7 linked regions of the Macaca fascicularis genome follow. The protein of the gene in region 3 purifies or fractionates together with the protein of the main gene of each other region. This does not show direct contact. Links are inferred from orthologs where the notes say so. Each region holds a gene or a part of one and is shown on either strand. Other genes may lie near its edges. The genes, in order: TRIB3, RBX1, COP1, CUL4A, MVP, ETV5 and ETS2.

Evidence for each region.
Region 1: the proteins of COP1 (region 3) and TRIB3 purify together in Homo sapiens (affinity purification with mass spectrometry; 5 studies listed by BioGRID and IntAct, counting the BioPlex papers as one, with this or other methods). This does not show direct contact. The link is inferred for Macaca fascicularis from reciprocal best matches to the Homo sapiens genes COP1 and TRIB3.
Region 2: the proteins of COP1 (region 3) and RBX1 purify together in Homo sapiens (affinity purification with western blotting; 3 studies listed by BioGRID, with this or other methods). This does not show direct contact. The link is inferred for Macaca fascicularis from reciprocal best matches to the Homo sapiens genes COP1 and RBX1.
Region 4: the proteins of COP1 (region 3) and CUL4A purify together in Homo sapiens (affinity purification with western blotting; 9 studies listed by BioGRID and IntAct, with this or other methods). This does not show direct contact. The link is inferred for Macaca fascicularis from reciprocal best matches to the Homo sapiens genes COP1 and CUL4A.
Region 5: the proteins of COP1 (region 3) and MVP purify together in Homo sapiens (affinity purification with mass spectrometry; 3 studies listed by BioGRID and IntAct, with this or other methods). This does not show direct contact. The link is inferred for Macaca fascicularis from reciprocal best matches to the Homo sapiens genes COP1 and MVP.
Region 6: the proteins of COP1 (region 3) and ETV5 purify together in Homo sapiens (affinity purification with mass spectrometry; 6 studies listed by BioGRID and IntAct, counting the BioPlex papers as one, with this or other methods). This does not show direct contact. The link is inferred for Macaca fascicularis from reciprocal best matches to the Homo sapiens genes COP1 and ETV5.
Region 7: the proteins of COP1 (region 3) and ETS2 purify together in Homo sapiens (affinity purification with western blotting; 3 studies listed by BioGRID and IntAct, with this or other methods). This does not show direct contact. The link is inferred for Macaca fascicularis from reciprocal best matches to the Homo sapiens genes COP1 and ETS2.

What each region holds. Positions count from the first base shown.
Region 1 is NC_088384.1:87,031,323-87,035,265, forward strand, and holds the start of TRIB3 (tribbles homolog 3), read right to left. Parts: upstream 2,801-3,943; 5' UTR 2,727-2,800; intron 2,687-2,726; 5' UTR 2,654-2,686; intron 1-2,653. UniProt on the Homo sapiens protein: Inactive protein kinase which acts as a regulator of the integrated stress response (ISR), a process for adaptation to various stress. Inhibits the transcriptional activity of DDIT3/CHOP and is involved in DDIT3/CHOP-dependent cell death during ER stress.
Region 2 is NC_088384.1:10,679,339-10,683,461, forward strand, and holds the start of RBX1 (E3 ubiquitin-protein ligase RBX1), read right to left. Parts: upstream 2,801-4,123; 5' UTR 2,776-2,800; coding exon 2,698-2,775; intron 579-2,697; coding exon 500-578; intron 1-499. UniProt on the Homo sapiens protein: E3 ubiquitin ligase component of multiple cullin-RING-based E3 ubiquitin-protein ligase (CRLs) complexes which mediate the ubiquitination and subsequent proteasomal degradation of target proteins, including proteins involved in cell cycle progression, signal transduction, transcription and transcription-coupled nucleotide excision repair.
Region 3 is NC_088375.1:33,568,958-33,572,457, forward strand, and holds part of COP1 (E3 ubiquitin-protein ligase COP1), read right to left. Parts: intron 1,827-3,500; coding exon 1,709-1,826; intron 758-1,708; coding exon 633-757; intron 1-632. UniProt on the Homo sapiens protein: E3 ubiquitin-protein ligase that mediates ubiquitination and subsequent proteasomal degradation of target proteins.
Region 4 is NC_088391.1:103,648,873-103,652,372, reverse strand, and holds part of CUL4A (cullin-4A), read right to left. Parts: intron 2,896-3,500; coding exon 2,733-2,895; intron 2,204-2,732; coding exon 2,114-2,203; intron 1,046-2,113; exon of another isoform or gene 1,044-1,045; coding exon 961-1,043; intron 1-960. UniProt on the Homo sapiens protein: Core component of multiple cullin-RING-based E3 ubiquitin-protein ligase complexes which mediate the ubiquitination of target proteins. As a scaffold protein may contribute to catalysis through positioning of the substrate and the ubiquitin-conjugating enzyme.
Region 5 is NC_088394.1:28,264,186-28,267,685, reverse strand, and holds part of MVP (major vault protein), read left to right. Parts: coding exon 1-70; intron 71-3,350; coding exon 3,351-3,500. UniProt on the Homo sapiens protein: Required for normal vault structure. Vaults are multi-subunit structures that may act as scaffolds for proteins involved in signal transduction. Vaults may also play a role in nucleo-cytoplasmic transport.
Region 6 is NC_088376.1:98,016,795-98,020,294, forward strand, and holds part of ETV5 (ETS translocation variant 5), read right to left. Parts: intron 2,289-3,500; coding exon 2,029-2,288; intron 1,027-2,028; coding exon 967-1,026; intron 1-966. UniProt on the Homo sapiens protein: Binds to DNA sequences containing the consensus nucleotide core sequence 5'-GGAA.-3'.
Region 7 is NC_088377.1:8,175,763-8,179,262, forward strand, and holds part of ETS2 (protein C-ets-2), read right to left. Parts: intron 2,618-3,500; coding exon 2,534-2,617; intron 1,207-2,533; coding exon 985-1,206; intron 125-984; coding exon 1-124. UniProt on the Homo sapiens protein: Transcription factor activating transcription. Binds specifically the DNA GGAA/T core motif (Ets-binding site or EBS) in gene promoters and stimulates transcription.

The sequences.
Region 1 (3,943 bases), on a different chromosome or scaffold from region 3:
GGCTGGGTGCAGTGCTTCATGCCTGTAATCCCAGCACTTTGGGAGGCTGAGGCAGGAAGATCACTTGAGCCCAGGAGTTCAAGACCAGCCTAGGCAACATAGCGAGACTCTGTCCCTAAGAAAAAAAAAATTATCTGGTCATAATGGCACACACCTGTGGTCCCAGCCATGCAGGAAGTTGAAGTAGGGGAATCACTTGACCCCAGAAGGTAAAGACTTCAGTGAGCCATGGTTAGGCACTCTAGCCTGGGTGACAAAGTGAGAATGTCTCAAAAAGACAAACAAACAAAAAAAATGAAGTGTGTGAGTTTTGATTCAGCAATTAATCCCATTGCTAGAATGTATCCTGTAGAAGTGTGCTTGTGTAAGCATGCAAATACAAAGTTATCCTGCAGCCCTTGTGACAGAAATAATTTGCTGTCTATAATTACAGGGCTGGTTACATAAATTATACTTCATCCACACAACGGAAAAATTTGCAGCCATTTAAAAGGTTGAGGACGCTGTTTATAGCCTAATCGAAAGGATCTCCAGAGTGAACTGTTAAATGAAAAGAAAGCCACCATCCACGCAGCTGTGTGACTGTGTGTGGGGTGGCTGAAGGAGAGGGCAGTAGGGCATGTCAGGGCAGGAAGGTTCTCTCTAGAACCCATCTGCCCACCCACTTAAACTCCATTCCAAGGATGTGCATGCCCAGGTCTGAGCACTGGTGCGAGAGGGACCTCAGCCTGGTGAAAGACCTTCCCAACAGTTCAAGGCAGGATGAACAGGGAAACATGAGTCAGTTACCAGACAGAGGCCCACCTCTCCAAGTACGCGGCTCCTAAACGGAAGAGCTGCCTTGGAAGGGAAGGTCTCCCCACATGAGTGAAAGGTCATGACTTTGGCTTGGTAAGAACGCAGTAAGGAGTGGCTTAGTCAGATATTCCTGGGTTCTAATCCTGTCTCAGACCCTTTCTAGCTGGGGGGTACCCCTGGTCAAGTTCCTCAAGCTTTCTGAGCCTCAGTTCCTGTAAAGTGGGAACAGGATGCAAAGTTTACAGGTTTTTAGTGATGATGAAATGAAAAAACAAATGAAGCACGTAGAGCTTATAGACCTGTTGCAGGGTAGGTGTCAGGAAATGGTCACTATTAGCACTCATCCTGTTGTTCTTCACAGCAAGATGCTTAAGTACCATCCTTGGGAGTCTTAGAAAGCTCCCCAGGTTCGAGGCTGGGATGACAGAACAGTCTCAAGGCTGTTCTGAGTCCCGCAGGATGCTACCTGGCCGTGCACATGCTTTGTGCCCTGTGCAGCAGGAGACTGCCTGGAGTCCCTCTGGCCTGTGCCACATCAGTACTCCAGGCTGCCTTGGCCCCAGTCATCCCTCAGAGCCTGTTGGGGCCTGGGATAAGCTCCACCCAGATGGGGACAGATGGGGTAACTGAGTCTATAAATCTTGGGCAAGGCATTTTGCAGACCACACTGCAGAATAGAATCTGTGCTGTGGAATGAAAGCAGCCCCTAATATCTACCTCTTGCTGTTTCCTGCCATACTCGAGACCCAGGGAAATGAGGGCGGGTTACATCAAGCGTGCGCGCGCTCACAGGTGTACACACACCCCTGAGACACTGTCTAAGCCAGCCAGCGACAACACATCCAGGGAAGACAGACATTAAGTGACACACCCTTGCCCTCCACGGGTAAGCGTTAGCGCGCACACACACACACACAGCCCTCCCAGCTATCACACCCATGGTCTACACAAGCAAGGCCGGCCCCACCACCCCCCGCCCCGCCCCCCGCAGCCAGGCCCCTTCAGCGGGAGCGAAAGCGAAAGGCGGCGGTGTCCCAGTCAGAAGTTTCAGCGGAAATTGAAGGGCGGCCCTGGGACAGGAGGGGGTGAGGCAGAGGGAAAGAGGTGGCTGTCGTCCCCCGCCCTCCCCGGTCTGCAGGCACAGCACACACCGCAAACACACGCGCACCTTCCACCTGCAAACCCGGAGCCACGCAGCGGGAAGAACCAGCGGCGCTGCCCGGCCGGGGATCCCGCGCTGCGACTTCGCTCCCACTCGTTCGGCTCCCGCACCACTCGCTCAGTTCGCTCCCAGGGCACCCCACCCAGCCCTCTCCCGGCCGTGTCCTCTGCACCTCCAACCCCTGCCACCAAGTGCCCAGCCCTCCAGACAGTTCTCACCATCCCCGGAGGCACAGGTCCCCGGGACCCACCCTCACCCAGAACTCTCTCCTACGGGTTCCCGAGGACCCCCGCAGATCCCCCGCAGATCCTCCGACACCCCCATAAAGAGTCCTCCAGTGCCCCCCACAAGCCCCTCACCTCACCACACGACTCCCCTGTCCCACACTCACGCAAAACAGACCCTCGCACACCCTCCTCTAGGGATGACAGCCGGACACCTCCGTCCCTGGCTTCCCCAGCCAAACTCGGGCGACCCCACGCCCTGCGGGGCCGCGTCACCTGAAGCCCGGGGGGAGCACTAGGCCCAGGGTGTCCCCCGACGGCAGAGTCTGTTAAAAGGGGTGTTGTGTGTGTGCGCGCGTAACACGCAGCAACACGCAGAGGCGCAGAGCCTCCCGGCGCCCCTTCCCCGGCCGCCCGCTCCAATCCCCCAGGCTCCGGGCAAGTCCACAGTCCGCACCCCGCCGAGTACCTTGTCCTGCCGTCCCGCGTGGGTCCTGGCGCCGCCGGTGCTCAGAGCCTCTAGGGTACCAGCAGGTGGGCCGGCCCGCTTCGCTGCTGCCGAGCTCGGGATCCCGGTCCAGCTCCAGCCCGGCCCGGGTCCTAACAGCGGACGTGTGCGGAGCCGCCCCCACTTCCGCTGCGAGTCTCGTGCGCTCCCGGCTCCCAGCCTGGGTGATGTAAACCTGAGCTAATCAGCCGCCGTCTGATGCCCTCAGGCCCAGGATTGCACCATCCCCGCGCCCCGCCTCACCGGGTCGCCGCCAGGGCGCGCTCCGCCAGGGCCTCTCTCCTCCGCTGCACCTGGGGACCCCGCCCTTGTTGGCCCACTAGGGTTGTCTGGTCTCAGTGCAGACACCAGCCACGGACTCTCCCTATCACCTTGGAAAAAAACATTTGCTTTTCTGAGCCTTACTTTCCCCACCTATGAAATGGGAAGAACATTCCTCCTTCTCGGGATGGTGCTCAAAAGAGCAAACAGTGACTGTTGTCCGGGTGCTTCCCCTTTTGTAAAGCACATTACCAGCACCGCCTTATAAAACCTTTAGGAGAAGTGGACATCTGGCAATCTCCATTCTCCCCCTTCTACTGAGAGCCAGCCTGAGGCCCAGCTGTGGGCAAGTGGTCCAGAAGCTTCAGGAAGGCCTATGGACCTAAGAGCTGACTCTGGGCTCAAAAGAACCACTGTGGCACCCTGGGGAGGCCTAAGGTCTGGTGAACTTCCCCGCGTTCCTTTGCTAGAGGCAGTGCGGCCTAGTGGCGAAGAGCCCCTAGAGCCAGCTGGCCTAAGAGTGCACTCCACCTTCCCCTCCAACCCACAGTGCTACCCCAGAAAAGCTACCTAAAACCCTGCCTCAATTTCCTTTTCAATAAAATGGGCTCATAATTGTGCTCACTTCATAAAGTTATTGTGAGGATTAAATAATGTAATATGTGTAAGACGCTTAGAACAGTGTGTGGCACATTGCGGATGCTCAATGGAGTGTAGACAATGGAGACAGAGAGGGAAAGAGGCCTTTAATATGCTTGCACCCTAGGCCTGGGAGGGCTTGGTGCTACTTCCTTTGGGGTGAAACATCCCTCTGCGTCCCAGGGGTCCAGCACCTTTCTTAGAAATCCCTTTTGATCTGAATTCACTAGTGTCAAAATATAACTCCTCAGCTGGGCGAGCTGGCTCATGTCTGTAATCCTAGCACTTTGAGAGGCCAAGACGGGAGGATTGCTTGAGGCCAGGAGTTTAAGAACAGCCTGGGCGACGTAG
Region 2 (4,123 bases), on a different chromosome or scaffold from region 3:
GCATGCACCACCACGCCCGGCTAATTTCTGCATTTTTAATAGAGTATTTTTGCATTTTTAATAGAGTCGGGGTTTCACCATGTTGCCCGCCTTGGCCTCCCAAAGTGCTGGGATTACAAGCATGAGCCACCACGCCTCGCCTCAGATAGAATATTTTAGCTCAAAGTTTATTTTCCTCCTTTCAGTATTTCTACCTTTGAGTCTAGGTACAAGATGGGAGATATGCAGGAAGAATCAACAGTGCCTGTTGTCCACAATTAATTCTAAATGTGTCCCTGCCATCTTTAGATTGAGTAGATTTATTCTGAAAGCTGGGTATGCCTCCAGGACATCATAAAAAAACTACTCTATTTCAAACACACCAAAAGACTAGATACAGAAGACCGAGTGCTCAGAGTAGGCTTGATATCTGCTTGTGAAGAAGAAAATCGGTCACATCAAGATAGCCACAAGCTCTGCAACCTTCTCAACTTCCTCCCATCCTCCTCCAATTACTTACAAAGATCCATAATGTGGTTCCTGCAGATGGCACAGTTATCAACCACAATATCCCAGGCCCAGAGGGCTACTGCATTCCACTGCAAAGACAAAAAGAGGGAACAATGCATTCTCCTTATAACACACACACAGTTTTTAGGACTTCAGGCTGCAGTTGTAGTTATGATCTCTGGCCACAGGGAACCACCAAACAAAAGTTTTTGGATATTATGTTAATCTTATTATACCAAAGACAACAGTAGACAACACATACATTCTCCTATTCTCCAAAAGACTGAGTATATGAACACATAAATTAATGTCATCTTTTAATTTGTTTCCTGTAGTTTAAAACAATTTAGTCTGGCCGGACGCAGTGGCTCACGCCCATAATCCTAGCACTTTGGAAGGCTGAGGCGGGTGGATCACCTGAAGTCAGGAGTTCGAGACCAGCCTGGCCAATATGGCGAAACCCCGTCTTTACTACAAATACAAAAATTAGCCAGGCTTGGTGGCGGGTGTCTATAATGCCAGCTATTTGGGAAGCTAAGGCAGGAGAATCGCTTGAATCTGGGGGACAGAGGTTGCAGTGAGCCGAGATCGTGCCACTGCACTCCAGCCTGGGCGATGGAGTGAGACTCCATCTAAAAAAAAAAAAAAAAAAAAAGCACAAACTTGAATTTCTGTGCAGGTTTTGGTGGCAGTTGCAGAAGCGCTCAAAATCTGAATAAGTATCTGCTCTTCCAGGCAGCTTTGGAAGCATGAGCAATGAAGTGAAAGCTAGGGAACAGAATGAACTAAGATGATGACTGGATCATAAAACGGGTAATCGTGGGATAAGCTGGATAATTAACTGCCCATGTCAGTACACAGAACAAGGTCATCACTTAAATCTTAGATTACTTCATAACAAATTCTACAATTCACTAGAATTTTGTTCGATTCTTACCATAAAATAAACTGATGTTCTGAACTTTTATATGTTTAGACTCTTCTATTAAGATAATAATTCCAGTAAGAGTTTAACTAAAAGTGGCATTTCATTCATTCAACTCTGGTTTCCTCAATTACAAGTACTCCCAAACCTTCATCGCTTTCAAACCCCAGTCTCAGTGCCTAGTAACTTCTTCACCACTTTTCACATCACAGCTTCAACTTGGAGGAAAAGCCCCTACTTCTATTATTCTTCAATATGGCTGGCTGTAACTGAGCAGCAGTGGCCACAATGAGACACCAAAAAGCACTAGGAGGGGGGGATATTGTCAGTGTTTAGCCAGATGTTCCAGGAATATCTTCCCTATTTCAGAATCTCCATTTCGAATAGTTTTCATGTTAGGTGGGAATCGACACTTTTCTCCCAAACTGTGGCAAACCACTAAAATGCATTTCATGCAAAAGACACGTTCCATTTTTGCTTTCCCCTCTTACCAAGTCATTCGCAACTACTACTCAACCCTCCCGAAATGCCACAGGATTTGGGCTCGGATTTTCTTAACAAGTTCCACCGTGCTTTTTATTATTATTTCGGAAGGGGGAGATTCTGAACGTGACAGAGAATCCAAGAGTGGGGTGGTTGTGGGAAAAGCCAACAGACGTCTCAGAACACCCAAGCATTACACTCCAGACTCTAACTCGGCGGTGTGAGGCCCAGAGATGGGGTTAATGGAGGCCTCGGTTCAGCGAGGAACAAGTCTGATCCCTTCAAGTGAGAGGACCCCAAGCAAGCTTCAAAAAGGGGCGGAGCAAGATCACTAGCGGGGCTCCTCAGAGGCCTCCAATGCGGTAGGACCTCAGGTTCCAGGCTTTCGCCGCACTGCCCCATCCTCCACCGCCGCAGTCGCTCTGACTCCCCATTCCACCCACCCCACCCCACCCCACCCCACCCCACCCCACCCCACCCTACCTTCCCCCACCTCTCAACCACTCCAGTGACAGCTCAGGCGCTTGGCTCCCGCCGCCAAGTCGCAACCCCGCGTATCTCAACAAGCAGCTCTGTGATTGGCCCCTCAGCCTCACATCGAAACCAACACTTCCCCTGACAGTGGGCCGCCGTCACGCCGATCAACTCTAAGGCCCGCCCCCCGACTTCCTTTCGTGGTACCCGGTCCCAGGAACGCCCTAAAATGAAACCCTTTACTCCGCGCCTCGACCATCCTCGGGCCTGCCAGCCAGATCCGCGCCTCTCTAGCTTCCCTGAGGAAGGCGCTGGCGAGACCCAACCTTTTTCACTTCAAAGCGCTTCTTGCCCGCGCCGCTGTTGGTGCCGCTCGGGGTATCCACATCCATCGCTGCCGCCATTTTGGAAACACACGGTCTGTCGTCCGACCACCGCGCCTGCGCAGCAGCGCACACCTCGTTCCCCCAGCCTCCCCGGCACCTCCTCCCGCACCCCACCCCTTACTGGCGCGCGTGGGGGAGGTGGGGGCGGAGCACGTGACCACGCCTCTTAAAGGGGCTATCGCAGGTCGCCCCACCCGCGAAGTGTCGGCCGGGGAGGGGGCGGTGGCCGGAGTGGGTGGGGCGGGGCCGGGCGGGGCCGAGGCTACGTGAGCTAGCCTGGTAGAAACGTTCGAAAGGGCTCGAGGTCGCCGCCTCCTCTGGGAAGCCCCCGGCCGCACTCCATCAGCTGGGGCGGCGGCTGCTTCCTCCGCCTGAGTCGGACCTGCGCCGCAGTCCTGTCCTGCCTACCGGGCTCGCCCGGTCGCCGCGCGACTCCCATTGCTAGCCGGGGTGGGCGCCCGCCGCCTGCCCCGAAACCTGAGAGCCCTCGCTGGTCTTTCGCAGACTCTGACCCACCTCCGAGCCAGGCCCAAGGCGCAGTCCGCGTGGGAGGGCTGGGGCCCAGGCACCGTCTGGTCTCCGATTTCTGTTCGGGAACTGCTCAGGGATCGATGGGGAGAGAGGAGAGCCCCGAAGGTCCTCCCTAAGGCCAGACTGAGCAGGCCCCCAGTGCTGCCCTCATCCCCCCGCCAAGCCTGGAGGGTGGCCTCTGCGCCCGCTTAGTCGCAGTCCTAGGACCGCCTTTGGTCGTGGTGCGCGGTTTCACCGTGGCGTGTGTCAGTCCCCACTCCTCATTCCTCAGTTGTCATCTTGTGTAGGGTGATTTCTCCCCAGTCTGTGTCCTCTTTCCGCTACTTGTGCTATAGTGAAACCGACCCATCTGCAGTCGCTGTATTTCTTTAATTTTTGTGAAGCATTCTGACTTTTTGGGGTGTTTTTCTGAGACGGAGTTTCGCTCTTGCTGCCCAGGCTGGAGTGCACTGGCGCGATTTCGGCTCACTGCAACCTCCACCTCCCGGGTCCAAGCGATTCTCCTGCCTCAGCCTCCCTAGTAGCTGGGATTACAGGTGTCCGCCACCACGCCCGGCTCTTTTGTATTTTTAGTAGAAACGGGTTTTTACCATGTTGGCCAGGCCGGTCTCGAACTCCTGACCTCAGGTGATCCGCCTGCCTCGGCCTCCCAAAGTGCTGGAATTACAGGCTAGAGCCGATTTTTTTTTGTTTTAAATAGAGACAAGGTCTCACTCTGTTTCCCAGGCTGGTCTCGAACTCCTCGGCTCAAGCGATCCTCCCACTTCGACCTCCCAAAGTGCTAGGATCACAGGAGTGCGCCACCGCGCCCGACCCAAGCACCTGTACTTTGTGT
Region 3 (3,500 bases):
GTTCCAGATATTTGCTTTGGCAGTCTCATACACATGTGGAGAAAGTCAACTTTGCTGAATAAAGGCCAAGTCATTTAAAAGTATGATCAAAGCTCATATATTCAGGCATTAGATATATCAGAGCATTTGAATAATATCAAATTTGATTTTTCTATTTCTTATTTAAATTTGTATAAATTATCAACAATAAAAGTCCTAGAATAACAGATCAATACTATGCAAATAGATTACTTCATGGAGAGAACAGCAGGTAAGGGAAAATGAATATCAAGCTTAAGAAGACATATAATGTCTCCAAAATTGGAAATATTACTAACAGAACTTAACCTTTTCTGTCTCCCACGCAGTATCTAAAGAATTACGTTATAATGGAGAACAACTACAAAACAGTTAAAAATCAGGTGTTCAGGTATTTGAGGTGTTCAGGGTTTGTACACAATAAAAAAGGGAAGGACTAATGCTCTTCTAGTACAACACAAGGAAAATCAATAATGCTGGGGCATCATGTCTATTATACTATCTTCTGAGTGCACACACCATTTCCTGACTTAATATTTAGTCTATTTCCATTGAGTTCAATTTCAATAACAAATACCTGTTAAAAAGTTCCTGGAAACGATGGTTTTACTTACCACAAGCTATATAATCTCCATTGGAAGCCAGGCCTACAAAGTTTTTTTCATTGATATGACCCTTGAAAGAACGTAGGCAGTACGGTTTTCCTACATTCCACAGTTTTAGCTGACTGTCTGTAGAGCTGAGGAAAAGTATAAAGAGTAAGAATGTATTTAAAATTTCTTGACACGAAACTCATCACTACTAATTAGAGGCAATGCAGTTTGCTGGTTAAGAATGCAGTCTCTGGAGCCAGACTGAGTTAGAATGTTCATCTGTCAGCCAGGCGTGGTGGCTCACGCTTGTATTCCCAGCACTTTGGTAGGCCGAGGCAGGTAGATCACTTGAGGTCAGGAGTTCAAGACCAGCCTGGCCAACATGGCGAAACTGTTTCTACTCAAAATACAAAAATTAGCCAGGAGTGGTAGCATGTGCCTGTAGTCCCAGCTACTTGGGAGGCTGAGGCAGGAGAATCACCTGAACCTGGGAGGCAGAGGCTGCAGTGAGCTGAGATCACGCCACTGCACTCCAGCCTGGGTGACAGAGCGAGACTCTGTGCCAAAAAAAAAAAAAAAGTTTTCTTTTCAACATATTTAAAATCACCATGAAATCACAGAGAAATGAACATGTCAGTGTAAAAGCCAACCAAGTAATATTTAAAACCAAAAATAATTCTACCACTATACTGCAACTAGATAAAATATACAATAACACATTAGTTGACTTTAATAAATAAAATACTTCTCATTATATTGCATCGACTATGTTGTTTATCTCTTCTTAAGAAACAATAGCTAAAATCCAATCTGAAGTTCAAATGCAATTAAACATAGGAGGATGAGTTAAGGGGGGAGCATATATTAAAAAACCAGTATCTTCAGGATTGTATCCACAATTTACATATAGTAGAGCACAATACAGACCAGAATCCACACTATTTTAATTGGACAAGATAAAAAAAATACTATTTAAGAAAAAGCACATATACTCCAACATTACAGTTTACATACATCTTCAGTGACATTACAAACTGGTAGGTGTTTAAGTACAGAGCTCTGTATTAAGCTTGACCTCTGAGGGGAGTAATACTCACGCAGAGACAATTTCCTCACCACTCACAAACTTGGCGTAAGAGACTGCTTTACGGTGTCCTTTGAATACCATGATTGGCTGTTTAGTGTTACGAAGATCATAGTAGTGGACACAGTGATCTAAACCAAAACAAAATTAGATAAATGTAGTAAACGCAGAAATGGAAAGCAAAGTTAATTTAAACTGGTTTTTGTTTTTTCATTAAAAGTTTCACATAGAATGTCTAATCTCTAACAGCCAGAAAACAAAGAAAAAGGAATTCTTTTCAAAAATAAGACTGGCTCTAGAAAGAGAGTATTAAGAGGTCAAAATAATTGGAAACTTAAAAATCAATCTATGTTTTAGTGGCGTCATTAAAAAATGTTAATATAAACATTATGGGACATCTGGATAAACATAATGCTATATAATCTTATTTCCCACATTTGCTTTAAAAAATTAGACATATTTTATATACAATACACACGCTCAAAGTATTGCATGCAATTCAATGATCTTTACTACATTTAACCAGCAGTTCAACCATTACCATAAATCAGTTTTATAATATTTCTGCACTCCAATAAGATCACTCATTTGGCATCCACCATCATAGGCAATCTCTATTCCTGTCTGTCTCTATCACTAATTTCTATGATAATCTTTATTATTTCCTTCCTTCTGCTTGTCTTCAGTTAGCTTTGTTACTCTTCTTAAAGACAGACACTTAAGGATACACAATTCTCTACAAACATTGCTTTGGCTGACACCACAAATTGTGATACGATGTGTTTCCATTTTCATTCAGTTTAAAATCCTTTTACATTTCCTTTGTTATTTCTTCTTTGACTAATGAGATATTTAGTAATGTGTCATGTAATTTCCAAATACTTGCAGATGTCTCAAAGCAACTATTGTTGATTTTTAATTTAATTCCATTTTGGTCAGAAAACTGTTTTGTACGTCTTCAATCATTTTATTGACAGAAAACTGTTTTGTATGTCTTCACTTTAAATTTATTGACTTTTTTTCAGTCTTAAATATGGTCTCACCTGGAGACTGTTTAAAGCTTGCTTGAGAAGAATGTGTGTTCTTCTACTGTTGGATGAAGTGATCTTTGGATGTTTGTTATGTCAGGTTGACAATGTTATTCAAGACTTCTATAACTTTGCTGATTTTCTGTCCAGTTTTTCTATGAAATATCGAAAGTGGAGTATTTTTCAACAACTTCAGTCAAATTATCTACTTTTCCCTTAAATACTGTAGATTTTCTTTTCATGTATCTACAAAAAGTTTGTTTTTAGGTGTGTTGATAATTGATGTATGTTTTCACTATTCATCCTTTTACCATTATAAAATGTCTTTGTTTCTAGTACCGGTTTCTACTCTAAGTATTTTCTGTTTGACCTAAATACTGCCATTCTACCATTTTTGTTGATTACTACTTACATGGTGTATCTTTTTTCATCCTGTTACTTTAACCTACGTGTGTCTGTGAATCTAAAGTCTATCTCTTGTAGATAGCATAAAGTTGGATTCTAATTTTTTTGTAAACCCATTCTGCCAATCCCTGAATGTTACAATGTTCAACATACTTACATTCAATATATTAAAAGGTTGCACATCTGAAATCCAAAAATCCCAAATCCTTGCTTTTGGAGCGGCAACATGACAATCAAAGTTCCAAATGCTTCATTGGAGCATTTCGGATTTTGGATTTGAGATGCTGAACAGCAAGTACAATAATGCATACTTAACAATGGAGATACACTCTGAGAAACGTATCGTTCAGCAATTTTGTCATTGTGTGAGCA
Region 4 (3,500 bases), on a different chromosome or scaffold from region 3:
AGTTCTGCACATTGTATCATTTTCATCTCCCTTCCTGTTTTCTCTGCTGAGTCCTACCAAGTCCTGTTCTGCACATCTGTACATTTTATCATTCCCTACTGGGGCCCAGTTCTGCACACTGTATCATTTTCTTTTTCTTTTTTTTGAGATGGAGTCTCCCTCTGCTACCCAGGCTGGAGTGCAGTGGCGCGATCTTGGCTCACTGCAAGCTCCGCCTCCCGGATTCACGCCATTCTCCTGCCTCAGCCTCCCGTGTAGCTGGGACTACAGGCCCCCGCCACCATGCCCGGCTAATTTTTTGTATTTTTACTAGAGATGGGGTTTCACTGGGTTAGCCAGGATGATCTCGATCTCCTGACCTCGTGATCCACCCACCTCAGCCTCCCAAAGTGCTGGGATTACAGGTGTGAGCCACCACACCCGGCTGCACACTGTATCATTTTCACTTCTCTCCCTTGCTGTCCCCTCTGCCCCTGTTCTTGCCTCCCATCACACGGACATTCTGTGCCTGACACGCACACTCACATAATCTCAACCTTTTTGTTTCCCTAGCTACTCATCAACCTCAGGTTTGCAGGAAAAAAACATTAGAAGAAAAGAGAAAATTGTGTGACAGCACCATAAATAAAATTAAAGCGATATAAAATGAGTGCACAATCAAAATAGCCTAATATTCAGTGATACTCCGTTAACATAAATAGCCCATCTCAAAACTCAAAGATGCCAAGTATCTCAGCAAGATTTACTCCCTTTAGACAATAACTTATGACAAGGCACTAGATAAAAACTGTAATTTGTAAATGCCAAATAAGGACAAATGACAAAGTAAAATATGCTAGGTGCAAAAATACTCTTAGTGCTGAATGAAATGACAGAGACACCCTTTACTTCAATAACCAGCCAGGAGAACCCTCCAGCCGTGGTGAGGACATGAACGCTCGGTGAGCGATCGGTACTTACTGTGTGCCGTGGTCCAAGTAAGTGATCACTCTGTCTCCTTCTTCCTCTAAACGTTTACTTACATGGTTAAGATATTCTGGAACCTTCCAAACAAAACAAACGTATCAGTAACAAAAAGACTGTCAACATTATCCAAGAGATTGAAATTTTATTTTCCTTATATGCAATTTTTAAGAAAAGCAGAATATGTATTCAAGCCAAATATTAACACAGATTAACAGGGAGGGAGAGGTAGGATGCAAGTGTGTTGGGGGGACATGGAGAAAGGATCGAGATTAACATCCATCCTAGAACAGGGCCCAGGCTGCACTTCTCTTTCGTCCCTGCTCACCACTAAGTTTTGGGGTCTGTGCACACCCTCTCCCATCCCCAGGGCCCACAGGGAGCTGAGCAGCACTTGGTAGGAGGGTGAGGTGCTAAATGGCAACCCTGCCCCGCACAGATGGGTCAGCAAAAGCAAGTCAACAAGCTGGCTGTTCATCTGGGGACACCAAACAACATGGTGGCAGGAGACCTCAAAGTACACCTATGTTTCCCAAGACAGTGCAGGAAAGGCCTGAGGCTCTGCCGGGGTAGCTGCAGCCGGGCTCAGTATCTGACATGAAACTTCCTCTCCAAAGCCAGAATGAAGGAACCAATGGCCAGGGTCAATTCTGGGCAGCAGCACGTGCCATTTGGGTGACAGTCTATGGGGCAGGTTCCTTTATGATTTTGCTCTGGTATCTGGAAAAGTGGTTAAGTTTTTTTGGGTTCCTATTACTACTATATGTTTTTTCACATGGCTTTTTTTGGGAAAATTTTTTGCAGTGCTTCACACAAATAAAAAATTTTATCATTTGTATTTATTTTTCATTTTTAAGGTGTATGTTTTTATCATTTTGCTTAAATTTGAGTTATTTTACTTATTTCAGAAACGATCTGACAGATTTTTACTTGTGGGGGGAGGGCAATAGTTTCTAAGTTAACATAAACTAAATTCTTAGTATACTAAGAATGAAGTTCATTACTGGGGATTCTGGCAAGACTGCAGCTTTCAGAAGATTTTCAATGAAACATCTGTGTGTGTGTGAAAAGGCAAACACGAGGAAAGTCCTCCCAGATGCTCATCTGCAGAAACGAAGCCAGGGGATTCGGAAGCATCCGATCATCTCACCTCTCTTTCCTGCATTAACCTTTGGCCTTCGGCAGCATATAAGCAGTTAGTCTCTTCCAAAAATTTCAGTTCAAATGAATCTTTATACACCTAAGAAATGAGCAGAGTTATTGACCAATTTCAGTAAAGGAAACTACCTTTTCAAGGGCTAACAAATCCCAGTTTCTGACGGGGCAGGCTGCCATGACCTGAACTTGGAGCTGCCTGTGGCCACCCAGCCGGCCAGCTGCACTGTCCTTCCCAAAACGGCCAGGCAGACCCTCTTCTGTTCTTTTCCTACGGTGCCTTGGGGTCACATTGCACTAAAGAACTTCACCCTTTGTCTTTTGTGTGTGTTGCTAACATTCTCCCCGAGTATGTCATCTGGTTTTGTCTGTTTGTGGTATATTTTCCATGAAAAAGGCGCATTTTACATAGTGATATTGATCCATCTTCCCTTTTGTGGCACCTGGTGTGGTGTTGGCTTGAGAGCCATTCCCCTCCTAGGGATTTTAAAGACTCTTCTATCTTCAACAAACACTTTTATGATTTCATTGTTTAACATCTTTGGTACAACCATTTATTCTGGTGCAAGTAGCTGGGCAGGTACCCGGGTATCTTCTGCACAGGCAGCACTCACCTGCAGGTCGGACAGCATGCCCAGCAGGCTCCGCAGCAGGCTCCGGTCCACGGCCTCGCCGCTCCTCTCGTGCTCGATCAGCAGCAGGATTCCATCAATAGTTTTACTTTGAACCATTTTATCACTAATAATATGGGTTCTAAACAGTTCTAATCCCATATCCCTGTACAGACAGTAAGAAACAATACATTTTAGTTTCGCTTTTTAGAAGTTATGGGTGTTATCTCCAGCTATGCTACTCAATATCATCCAAAAAATGTGAAGTAGCTAATTCTCTACATCTAGGTGCCAACAATTTCTTTTTAAAAACTTCTGTTTTTCGGCCAGTCTAGTGTGCCTTGTCTGCTCCATGTCCCTGGAGATATTGCTAGGCCAAGCATGCCACTGACAACAAAATTGGTATCACATAATCTGCTGGCAGAAGCCCGGGGTTCTTGCCACCTTCCTGGTGAGTGACTGGAGATGCTCAGTCGGGTACCACGACCCTGCCTGCCCCACCTGCCCTGCCTGCCACCATCTGCAACAGCCCTCAGGGTACACTCTCTTCCCAATATCCTCTGCGGAGCACATCCCAGCAGCTTCCCTTCTCCAAGCCCTGGGAGCTCTCCTACCAAATGTTTGCTGCTTTCCCAAGAAGAGAAGGTGACACACGGCTTTCAGAGTTCATCGCAGTCCTCAGCTCACGGCCTGAGGAATGTTACGAAGATGTTTCAGCTGCCAGTGACTGTCCACAAAACCCATGTTGGGGGTTCCGTGCTTTGCTTCAAC
Region 5 (3,500 bases), on a different chromosome or scaffold from region 3:
CTACTGTGTGATTCTCGACCCTGTCGGACCGGATGGCAAGAATCAGCTGGGGCAGAAGCGTGTGGTCAAGGTGAGGTCCCTACACCCCCCACAGAGGACTGTCCTGGGAGATGTATGCCCTCTAGTGGCAGGAGGCCCTCTGCCCTCTCTCCCTTCTCCTCCAGAGGCACGTTCTGGGAATACCTTCTGTGCCTTTACACGCTTAGTTCTTACACGCCTGAGACACTGGCCCATTTGGTTCCTGGCAGCCTCTAACTTACCCCTCAGACCTGAAGTTAATTCCCCTTCTGGGAAGGTCTCCTGGCTACCCTCTGCCTGAGACTCTGAAACTCTCTCTGATACAGTCATGTGCCACTTAATGTGGGGATACAGTCTGAGAAATGGTCCTTAGATGATTTTGTCTTTGTGCAAAAGAGTGCACTTATGCAAACCTAGATGGCACAGCCTACTATCACCTAAGCTAGATGGTGTAGCCTGCTCCTAGGCTGCCAACCTGTGCAGCATGTGACTGTCCTGAATACTGCAGGCAGCTGAACACAATGGTAAGTACTTACGTAGCTAGCCATAGAAAAGGTAAGAAAAACACAGTATGAAAGCTTCATTATCGGCCAGCAAGTGGCTCACGCCTGTAATCCCAGCACTTTGGGAGGCCAAGGCACGTGGATCACTTGGGGTCAAGAGTTCAAGACCAGCCTGGTCAACGTGGGGAAACCCTGTTTCTACTAAAAATACAAAAATTAGCCAGGTGTGGTTGTGGGTACCTGTAATTCCAGTTACTTGGGAGGCTGAGGCACAAGAATCACTTGAACCCCGGAGATCAAGCCTGCAGTGAGCCGAGATCGTGCCACTGCACTCCAACCTGGGCGACAGAGTGAGATTATCTCAAAAAAAAAAAGAGCTCCATTATAATCTTACGGGACCACCATGTGCAGTCTGTAGTGGACTGAACCATCACGCAGTGACTATACTTCACATCTTTTATATTCTGGTGTGCACTTTGCTTTGTCATCTTTCGTAAAACAAACCTCTTGGTTTACCCTCTCCCACCCCCTACCTCATCCCCTCTCTGAACTATATGTGGGAATACCAGGAGTTGCCAAACTCATTCTGTAAAGGGGGCTGGATGGTAGATATTCCGGGCTCTGTGAGTCATCGTTTCTGTGGAAGTTCTTCAACTCTGCTGTTATGTCAGGAAAGCAGCATGGGCAGTACGTAAACAAGTGAGTACTGCCATGTTTCTGGAATATTTTATTTGCAAAAACAGGAGGCAGAAAAAGTAGAAATAGGCCAGGCACGGTGGCTTACACCTGTAATCCCAGCACTTTGTGAGCCCAATGCGGGTGGATCACTTGAGATCAGGAGTTGGAAACCATCCTGGCCAACATGGCGAAACCCCTTCTGTACTAAAAATACAAAAAACAATTAGCTGGGCATGGTGTCAGGCACCTGTAAACCCAGCTTCTCTGGAGGCTGAGGCAGGAAAATCGCTTGAACCCGGGAGGCGGAGGTTGCAGTGAGCTGAGATAGCACCACTGCCCTCCAGCCTGGGTGACAGAGAAAGACTGTCTCAAAAAAAAAAAAAAAAAAAAGTAGAAATAACCCAAATGTACATATTTAATGAATGGATAAAAAATTGTAGCATATTCATACAATGGAATATCATTCAGCCATAAGAAAGAAATGGCAGGCTAGGCGCAGCAGCTCGTGACTATAATCCCAGTGCTTTGGGAGGCCAAAGTGGGAGGATTGCTTGAAGCCAGGAGTTCGAGACCAGCCTGGGTAACATAGTGAGACCCCATTTTTACAAAAACTTTAAAAAATTGGCGAGGCACGGTGGCACACCTGTAGTCCCAGGTACTTGGGAGGCTAAAGTGGGAAAATCGCTTGATCCCAGGAAGTGGAGGCTATAGTGAGCTAGGATTGTGCCACTGTACTTCAGCCTGAGGCAATAGAATGAGATCCTGTCTCTAGGAAAAAAGAAAAGAAAAGAAAGAAATGACATACTTATAGGTGATACAACATGGATAAAATTGAAAACGTTATGCTAAGTGAAAGAAGCCGGCCGGATGCGGTGGCTCACGCCTGTAATCCTAACACTTTAGGAGGCTGAGGCAGGCATATCACCTGAGGTCAGGAGTTCAAGACCAGCCTGGCCAACATGGTGAAACACCATCTCTGCTAAAACACAAAAATTAGCTGGGCATGATGGCGGGTGCCTGTAGTCCCAGCTACTGCTCGGGAGGCTGAGACGGGAGGATCCCTTGAACCCGGGAGACAGTTGTTGCGGTGAGCTAAGATCCCACCACTGCACTCCAGCCTGGGCTGCTGAGCGAGACTCCATCTCAAAAAAAAAAAAAAAAAAAAAAGCCAGACATGAAAGACCACATATTGACATATTGCATGATTCCATTTATATGAAATGTCCAGAATAGGTAAACACATAAAATAGACTAGTGATGGGTGGGGTGGGTGGGGAGTAGAAGTAACTTCTAGGTACAGGATTTCTTTTCAGGGTGATGATGAAAATATTCTAGACTTAACATAGTAGTGATGGTTGGACAACTCTGAGTATACTAAAACAACTGAATTGTGAATTGTATACTCTAGGTGGGAAAATTTCATATGTGGATTATATCTCAATAAAATTAAAAAAAAAAAAAAAAAACAGGCAGTGCTGGGCATGATGGCCCACGTTTATAATCCCAGCACTTCGGGAAGTTGAGGTGGGCAGATCGCTTGAGTCCAGGACTTTGAGACCAGCCTAGGCAACATGGCAAAACCCCATCATCTACGAAGCACACAAAAATTAGCTGGGTGTGGTGACGCGCATCTGTAGTCCCAGCTCTTTGGGAGGCTGTGCTGGAAGGATTGCTCGAGCCTGGAAGGTTGAGGCTGCAGAGAGCTGAGATCATGCCACTGCACTCCAGCCTGGCCAATAGAGCAAGACTGTCTCAAAAAAAAAAAAAAAAAAAAAAAAAGGCAGAATCCAGATTTGGCCTGAAAACCAGAGTTTGTTGAGCCCTAGGTTACACCATCTCTAGAAAACAAAGCCTGGGAGAAAGAAGAAAAAACAGGTTGATTTTTTTAATGGTTTAGCGTGCGTGGATCCAGGTTCTGACAGTTTATGGAATCTTTCAAGGACACGTTTGAGCAGATGAGATTCGGCAGACGTTTGTGTAGAGCCTCACAGTCCAGACGGTGCCTCACTGTATTATGATGTGGGGGTGGTGGCGGGCTTCTGGGGCTCCTGTCCTCCACACAGGCCTGAGACAGCGCGGGGCTGGGGAGGTGCCATCGGAGGCACCCGCAACCCTAAAGGCCCTGCCCCTAACCGCACGTCTCCCCACTAGGGAGAGAAGTCTTTCTTCCTCCAGCCGGGAGAGCAGCTGGAACAAGGCATCCAGGATGTATACGTGCTGTCGGAGCAGCAAGGGCTGCTGCTGAGGGCCCTGCAGCCCCTGGAGGAGGGGGAGGATGAAGAGAAGGTCTCACACCAGGCT
Region 6 (3,500 bases), on a different chromosome or scaffold from region 3:
ACGCCACTGCACTCCAGTCTGGGTGACAGAGCGAGACTACGTCTCAAAAAAGCAAGCTCCTCCAAGAAACTGACATTCTAGCTCCATTCTGACTACTTCCTTGAAGCCATATGCTATGGAACACTTATGCATCTTATTTGTTCCCAATTACTTTCACCTAATTGGTAGGTCAGCACTAATAAAGGCAAAGTCACAGGCTCAACCTTGCCCACTGCTCCTGCTCCTCATTAGGTGAGATTATCTCAGAGACTTACTGAATTGAGTTGGTCCCAAAGGGATTGGGCACAAGAACTTGAGCAGATAACATATACCGTTGATATAAAATGATCATCTTCACATAAAAGTAAATGTTAGGATATGTGTCAAGGTTGGTGAAGAATACCTTCAATTTCCCCCCCATGTTAAAAGTGGCAACCATTTATCATATAATAATAATTACAATGAAGAGTTACCCACCCCGAGCACTCAAACTAAGTAAAAAACCTAGAGACACATTTTTAAAACTCTAAGACATCCTTGGACCCTCACTGACATAACTATAAAATGTATAAAAACCACTCTCACTGACATAACTCCTAAATTCCAGTTTAAGCTGATATTGTTATATAAACATAACCTTCATTTCTGGAATTGTGGAAATACGGTGGGTTTGTTTTTTCTCCAAATTGTCCTATCCTCTTAAAAAGTTGGGGTCATTGCTAATGAAAATGGCAGCCCTCACAGGGCTCAGGGGCATGCCTTAAACCCTGCCTGCAAAATAATTGAAGATTGCAACCAATTAGCTCTTATATTCATGAGCTAAGCAAGGTTTAATCTATGATCTCAAATCTTAGCCTGGAAACTGAGCAATTTTAAGCTTGAGTATTATTCAAGGAAAGAAAGAAAGAGGAAGGAAGGAAGGTAGGAGAAAGAAAGAGAAAAAGAAAGGAAGAAAGGAGAGGAGAGGAAAGAAAGCAGGCTCCTTACCTTCATGGCTGCTGGAGAAATAACCCCCTCTCATGTAGGATGACTGACAGTTAGGCACTTCTGAAAGGAAAGCAAAGGTGGACACAATCCTGTCAATAGTTTCTGCAGCAGACACAGCACATCGGTCAACTGCAGCTCTGTGGTAAAGCCCCTAAACGCTCTGGGGTCATGTCTTTTTGGCTTTGTCCTGGGAAAGAGGTGCCACACCACTAAGCAAGATGGCAAACACCACAACCCACCATCTGAAAGGCAGGCTCTCCTACTCAAGAGTCACGGGAGGAAAGAAAAAGATGTTTCACTCTCGTTGTTCACTCATTTTAGCAATTAGTTAACACCAAATCTGGTGAAAGAGCCAATGATAGTGGAAAAAATATTAGCTTTCAAAAGGCCAAGCCTGGCCTCTTGCCCCATGCTGACTCCTGGGTGTTAGGGTGGGAAGGGGAATATGACTGCTTCAGATCTTTCCCAATTTGCTCCCCTTTACTCCTCGTGGTCACATCCAATTCTGCTCCAAGAGGTGGGAGTATTTTTAGGCCAAAGGGATTAGCAGACCTGAAGTTAGGACGCCAGGACCAGCATTGGAAGGGGGGTACAGGATTGCAGTTTGGTCCATTTTTGCCATGCTGGGACTGTCACACTGAAACCAAACCACACTCAAGTGACCTCTTCTTCAAGCATCATGTTATCAGTGTTTCCCATAACCAATTGGTGCCTGAATAGATCAATCTACGTATTATCTCAGAGAAGGTCAAGAGCAAATTCCATCCAAAACTGAACCCCAACACTCTTCAAGCTTGGACTCAGAGATGTACTTCATACCACTTCTGAATGCCTACTGCACTTCCTACCACTTACATACCTTTTCCGTTTTGTTTTGTATTCCGTTGTGCATAAACACGTCAGCTCTACTAGCTCCTAAGTTATTTGAGGGCAATTCTTATAAAAATTACAAAAAATTCTTATAAAAATTCCTGTCCCCAAGGCCCTGCATGTATAAGACACTGAATAACGAGACAGAAGAAAGCAAGAATGAAGCAACGAATAGCACAATTTGATGCTGACCTGAATCGACGCAGTAATCCCGAGGCTCCTGCTTGATTCCCATTGGTGACTGGAACCCGTGTGCTGGGGGCCCTGGCATGGCTGGGACCCCATGTTCATAGAGTGGGTCATGGTATTCTTGTTTGAATCCCTGAGGGGGCGGGGGAGCTGCAGGGACAATAGGCTCTGACATTTGCCGATGGTAACTGGGGCGATTATCTCCAGGAACTCCTGGCTGAGGAGGGAAGGGGTGGCAGGGTTCAGACAGTTGTCTCTGAAATCTGTAAGAAGAAAGAGGTTTTCGTGGTGAACAAAGACTTGATGAATACCTACTATGATTGAGCACTGGGGACTAGAAGAAGTTCCAATTAATGAAATTATTTGCAAGATATTTAATAATGCTTATTTCTGGACATTTTTACCTTCTTCCCAAAATTACATTGTGTATTTCGAAGCTCTTGAGTCAGGAAGTGGCAAAAAAAAAAAAAAAAAAAAAAAAAAAAATCAAAGCAATGATGTGGTAGCCTCTTTTTCTTTCATGTATGTATACTGTATGCACAGTCTATCTGTAAAGATGGGCCAGATTATGTATATGAATATATGAGACCAATTATTTGCAAATAGCACTAACATATACATAAATATTTGTTCACTAGTTCATCCATTCTCTCACCTACAGATAGAAGGAATTTTTAAAGACTGAATACAAACTAATCAGTTAGAAAATGTAGTTAAAAAGGAGAGAATCCCATTCACAGTAGCAATAAAAAACATAACATTCCTAGGAATAATCAGGAAACGTATAGGCCATATAAGAATAAAATCTTAAAATTGTTCTCTGAGGAAAAGAAAGAAAAAAGATCTAAGAGAAGATATTTAGGACTTTGAAGCTATTGATTCACTGAAAATTAATCTGTAAAAGCAAATGCCTTCGCAACTAACTTGACCAAATGATTCTAAACTTTATTTTGAAAGGACAAAAGGACCCACTAGCTATTGACATATGTCATAAAACTACACTAATTAAAACAGTAATACAAGGAATTGAGAGATAGGCAGATCAAAGGAATTTAGTGGCAAGCCAAAAACCGTCAAGTATATTTCAAAATTTACTACTTGTTAAGGTTAGCATTTCAAGTTAGTTGGGGAAAAAGACCCCATTTTATACAGATACCAAAATAAATTTCACATGGATTAAAGGTTCCAATATAAAAAGTGAAACCAGGCCAGGAATTATGGCTCATGCCAGTAATCCCAGCACTTTGGGAGGCCGAGGTGGGCAGATTGCTTGAGGTCAGGAGTTCAAGACCAACCCGGCCAACATGACAAAACCCCATGTCTACTAAACTACAAAAAAAATTGGCCAGGCATGGTGGTGGCTCACGCCTGTAATCCCAGCAATTTGGGAGGCCAAGGTGGGCGGATCAGGAGGTCAAGAGATTGAGACCGTCCTGGCCAACACGGTGAAAACCGTCTCTACTAAAAATACAAAA
Region 7 (3,500 bases), on a different chromosome or scaffold from region 3:
TCGAAGGAAGGAACCCGTTGCACATCCAGCAAGGACGACTGGCTGTTCCAGGACTGGAGGAGGGAATCTGAGCTCTCGAAGCTGTCTGCACCGTTCTCAGGGGAGTCATGGTCTTTGGGCGTCCCTGGCAAAGACAACCAAGCACATACTTTGATTCCTCTAGGGCATGGTTGGTCTTGGGCACGACCACAGCATCACCAACCACTACCAGTGCAATCATGCACCTGCTGGTGTAGAACCACTCAGACTTCTCAAAATGCTCTCTACTCAGGTGCCTATTCCTTAGGGTAACTATGCTACACAAATCCTATCTTCCATCAACAGTAGAATGAATAAAATTCTTATAATGGAATACTATACAGCGATGAAAAAGAACACATAGCTGCTACATCCAACAACATGCATGAATCCCAGGCCTCATGATGAGTAAAAGACAAACACAAAAGAAAACATACCGCATGATTCCATCTATGTAAAGTTCAAGAAAATCAAAACCTAATCCATGATGATAAAAGTCAGAATGGTTCCCTTCTGTGGGGGGATGATATTGATGGGAAGGGGTACGAAGGAACCGTCCAGGTTACTGGAAACTTCTCTATCTCCATCTGGATGGTTGTTACATAGGTATACATACGTACACAAATTCAACCAGCCATATGACCTGAGATTTGTGCACTGTATTTATGTTACATCTCCATAAAAAGAAATGCCACATTCCCGCATCACCACCATAAATATCCTGAAGCGTGGAGAAATCTGGCTGTGAGAGCAGGGATTGTGTTTTGTTTACTCAATGCCTGCAGTACCTGGGCCAGCACCTGAAACATATTAGGGGTATGCTTGTTGGAAATCCACTTAGAACATGGGCTTTGACCTCCTTCTGTAATGGCTGAACTCAGGAAGTATTTATTAAGAGGTTCATGATGGCTCTGGGGTTCTCAGAATCAAACCAACAGCCTTGTTGAAAGATGCTTCCAATCTTACCAGAATTGTTGGTGAGCAAATTCAAGTTGCTGCCTGGGAAGTCCTGACTGACAGAGCAGTAGGTGACGCTGACGGAGCTGAGCCGAGACTTGGGGAACATCTGAAACTCCTGCTCAGAGCTGAGTACGCTGGGTGTGGAGGCTGGACACATGCTGTCCAGGAGGCCGCCTTTGGGGTAATTCTGTGTCTGCATTCCGTAGGGCGTCTGCTCCGTGCCAAAACCTGGGACAGAACAATCGGACGACAGAGCTCTTAAAGTCAGTATTACCACAGTAACTAACCCCTCAGAGCCAATGACAGGTGAGCACTCCGCACACTCCAGCCCTCTGCAGAACCTCAGTGGACACCCGGGCTTTGGTGGGGGTCTGTCACCAAGCCTTCTTCTCAAACCTTTCATCTTCTCAACCAGCAGCCCTTTGCCAAAATGACTGCAGCCTTTGTAGGCAGGACTCAATGTCCCTATTTCTAGCGCTTTCATGGGACCCTCAGGAGGACAGGGCTCACTGGCTCTTGCAGCTTCCAAGGAGAGTAAGGCTCAGAGAGACGAGGTGATGTGTCATGCACTGTGTGATGCATAAGGAGCAGAGCCAGGCCACGAACCCTGTGTGCTGAGGCACAGCCCACTCTGCTGTCTGCTCCTTCATCACACTGCTCCTGTCTCTGTTCTTTGCAGAATCATTTATTTTCTGGAGAGGGAAGGAAGCTCTCTGACTCTGATTCAGACTCAGGCAGGCACAGGGTGTCTCACTGTACCACGTTCAGAAAGACCCCCGGAGCAGGAAGCCCCCAGTGGGGCAGAGAGGTGGGCTTCACTGGGTCCGAATGGTGGAGCTGGGGCCAGAGAGAAAACACTGGGCCGGACCAACACCACCCAAGCCTGCTGTTCCAAGGAACCCTCCCACGCTGGCCTGGCCAGACCATGTGTCCTCCCCAGAACCAGCAATCGGAAGCAAGGACCTAGATTCCATGACAGCTCTTTAAGCTCCCAAGTTCAAAGCCAGTTTACAAATTGCTTCCCACACACTCTGTGCCCGCCACCTCTTGTTTGCTACACTAGACCAACAGGTGGTGACTGCGGTAACCAGCTCACTTCGTTCTGCTCCTTGCTCTAAGAATTGCCTGGACTAGTACTAACAGTGCTGACCTATGGAAGATCGTGTGAGCCACTTAAGCAATTGTGAATGTTCTAGTGGCCATATTAAAAAAGCAAAAAGAAACAGGTGAAGTTAATTTTCTTATTTTACTTGGCCTCATGTAGCAATTATCATTTCAATATGTAATCAATACGTTAAAAATTATCAGGGAGACATTTTATATTCTCTGTTTCATACTAAGACTTCCAAATCTGGCGTGCATGACTATACTCTTCCTACACATCTCAATGTGGACCAGTCACATTTCAACAGCTTATGGCTCAACCACCCACGTGTGGCCACCATGAGAGACACACACAGGTCTAGGTGGCCCCTTAGGAGCCTACAACAGAGAGTCCAAGTCTACTGGGGAGACTGAAGACCAAGTTCTTAAGGGCAGAATCAGTCGGACTGACCTATTGTATTGCTGTTAATCCAATGAGGAACGGAGGTGAGGTGTGAATTTTCTTCATATTGATCTTCTGTCTTTTCTTGGTTTTCTGAAAAGCAGACACAGGAGACATAAGATGGCAGATGTAGGTGAAAACTACACAAGAACAAATTGACTTTCTGAATTCCTGTGAGACGATAATTTTAGAATGATGACATGCATGGAGTGCTTCACATTTAATCTCATGGTGCTCCACGTCCTGCCTGTCTTTTTCAAAACACGAGAGAAAGCAACCCATTTTTCTAATTACTAAAATACATTTTCCAAAATGAATGATGTCATTGGCAACATTAAATTTTCTATTGCAAAAGGTCCAGATGGTGTATTGAATTCATTCATGCATTCAAGAAACATTTAAGTATTTATGAAATGCCATCTGTACCAGAGGCTGCATACAGGAAATTAATAAAATGGATGGTGTCTGCCCCCGTGAAGCTTACAGTCCCATTGCTTCCAAACCTGCACGCTTCCCCAGGGTGTAGGAGGTCTCCAGGGCTGTGGGAGTCTGGGATGGCTAAGACAACTGCCCAAGAACTTTGAAAGGGAAAAGGTTTGTGCACTGTGTATACACACTTAATACGAATATATTACAAAGTATACGTGCACCTGGAAACTCAAACACACACAAACTCACAGGCCCGAGGAATGGCAAAACAGGCCCAATTTGCCAATGAACAGATCACCAGAAACTTGGTAGAAAAGCCCTGTCCAAGTTCAGAAAAAATGAGAGTCTTTAAAAATGAGTTTCCCTGGCCCTCAGAAGCCGTAACTAAAAAAAGTTAGCTGTTGAATCCTAGGTGGTTTTGAGATTCTGAGTCTATAGTTGATGCTAAAATTCAGTGTGTTTAAAATCAGTCAGGTGAGGACTAGTTCCCTGAATTCTATAAAAGTGCTTTCTTTTCCTTCCTTCCTCCCTCCCTTCCTCCCTCCCT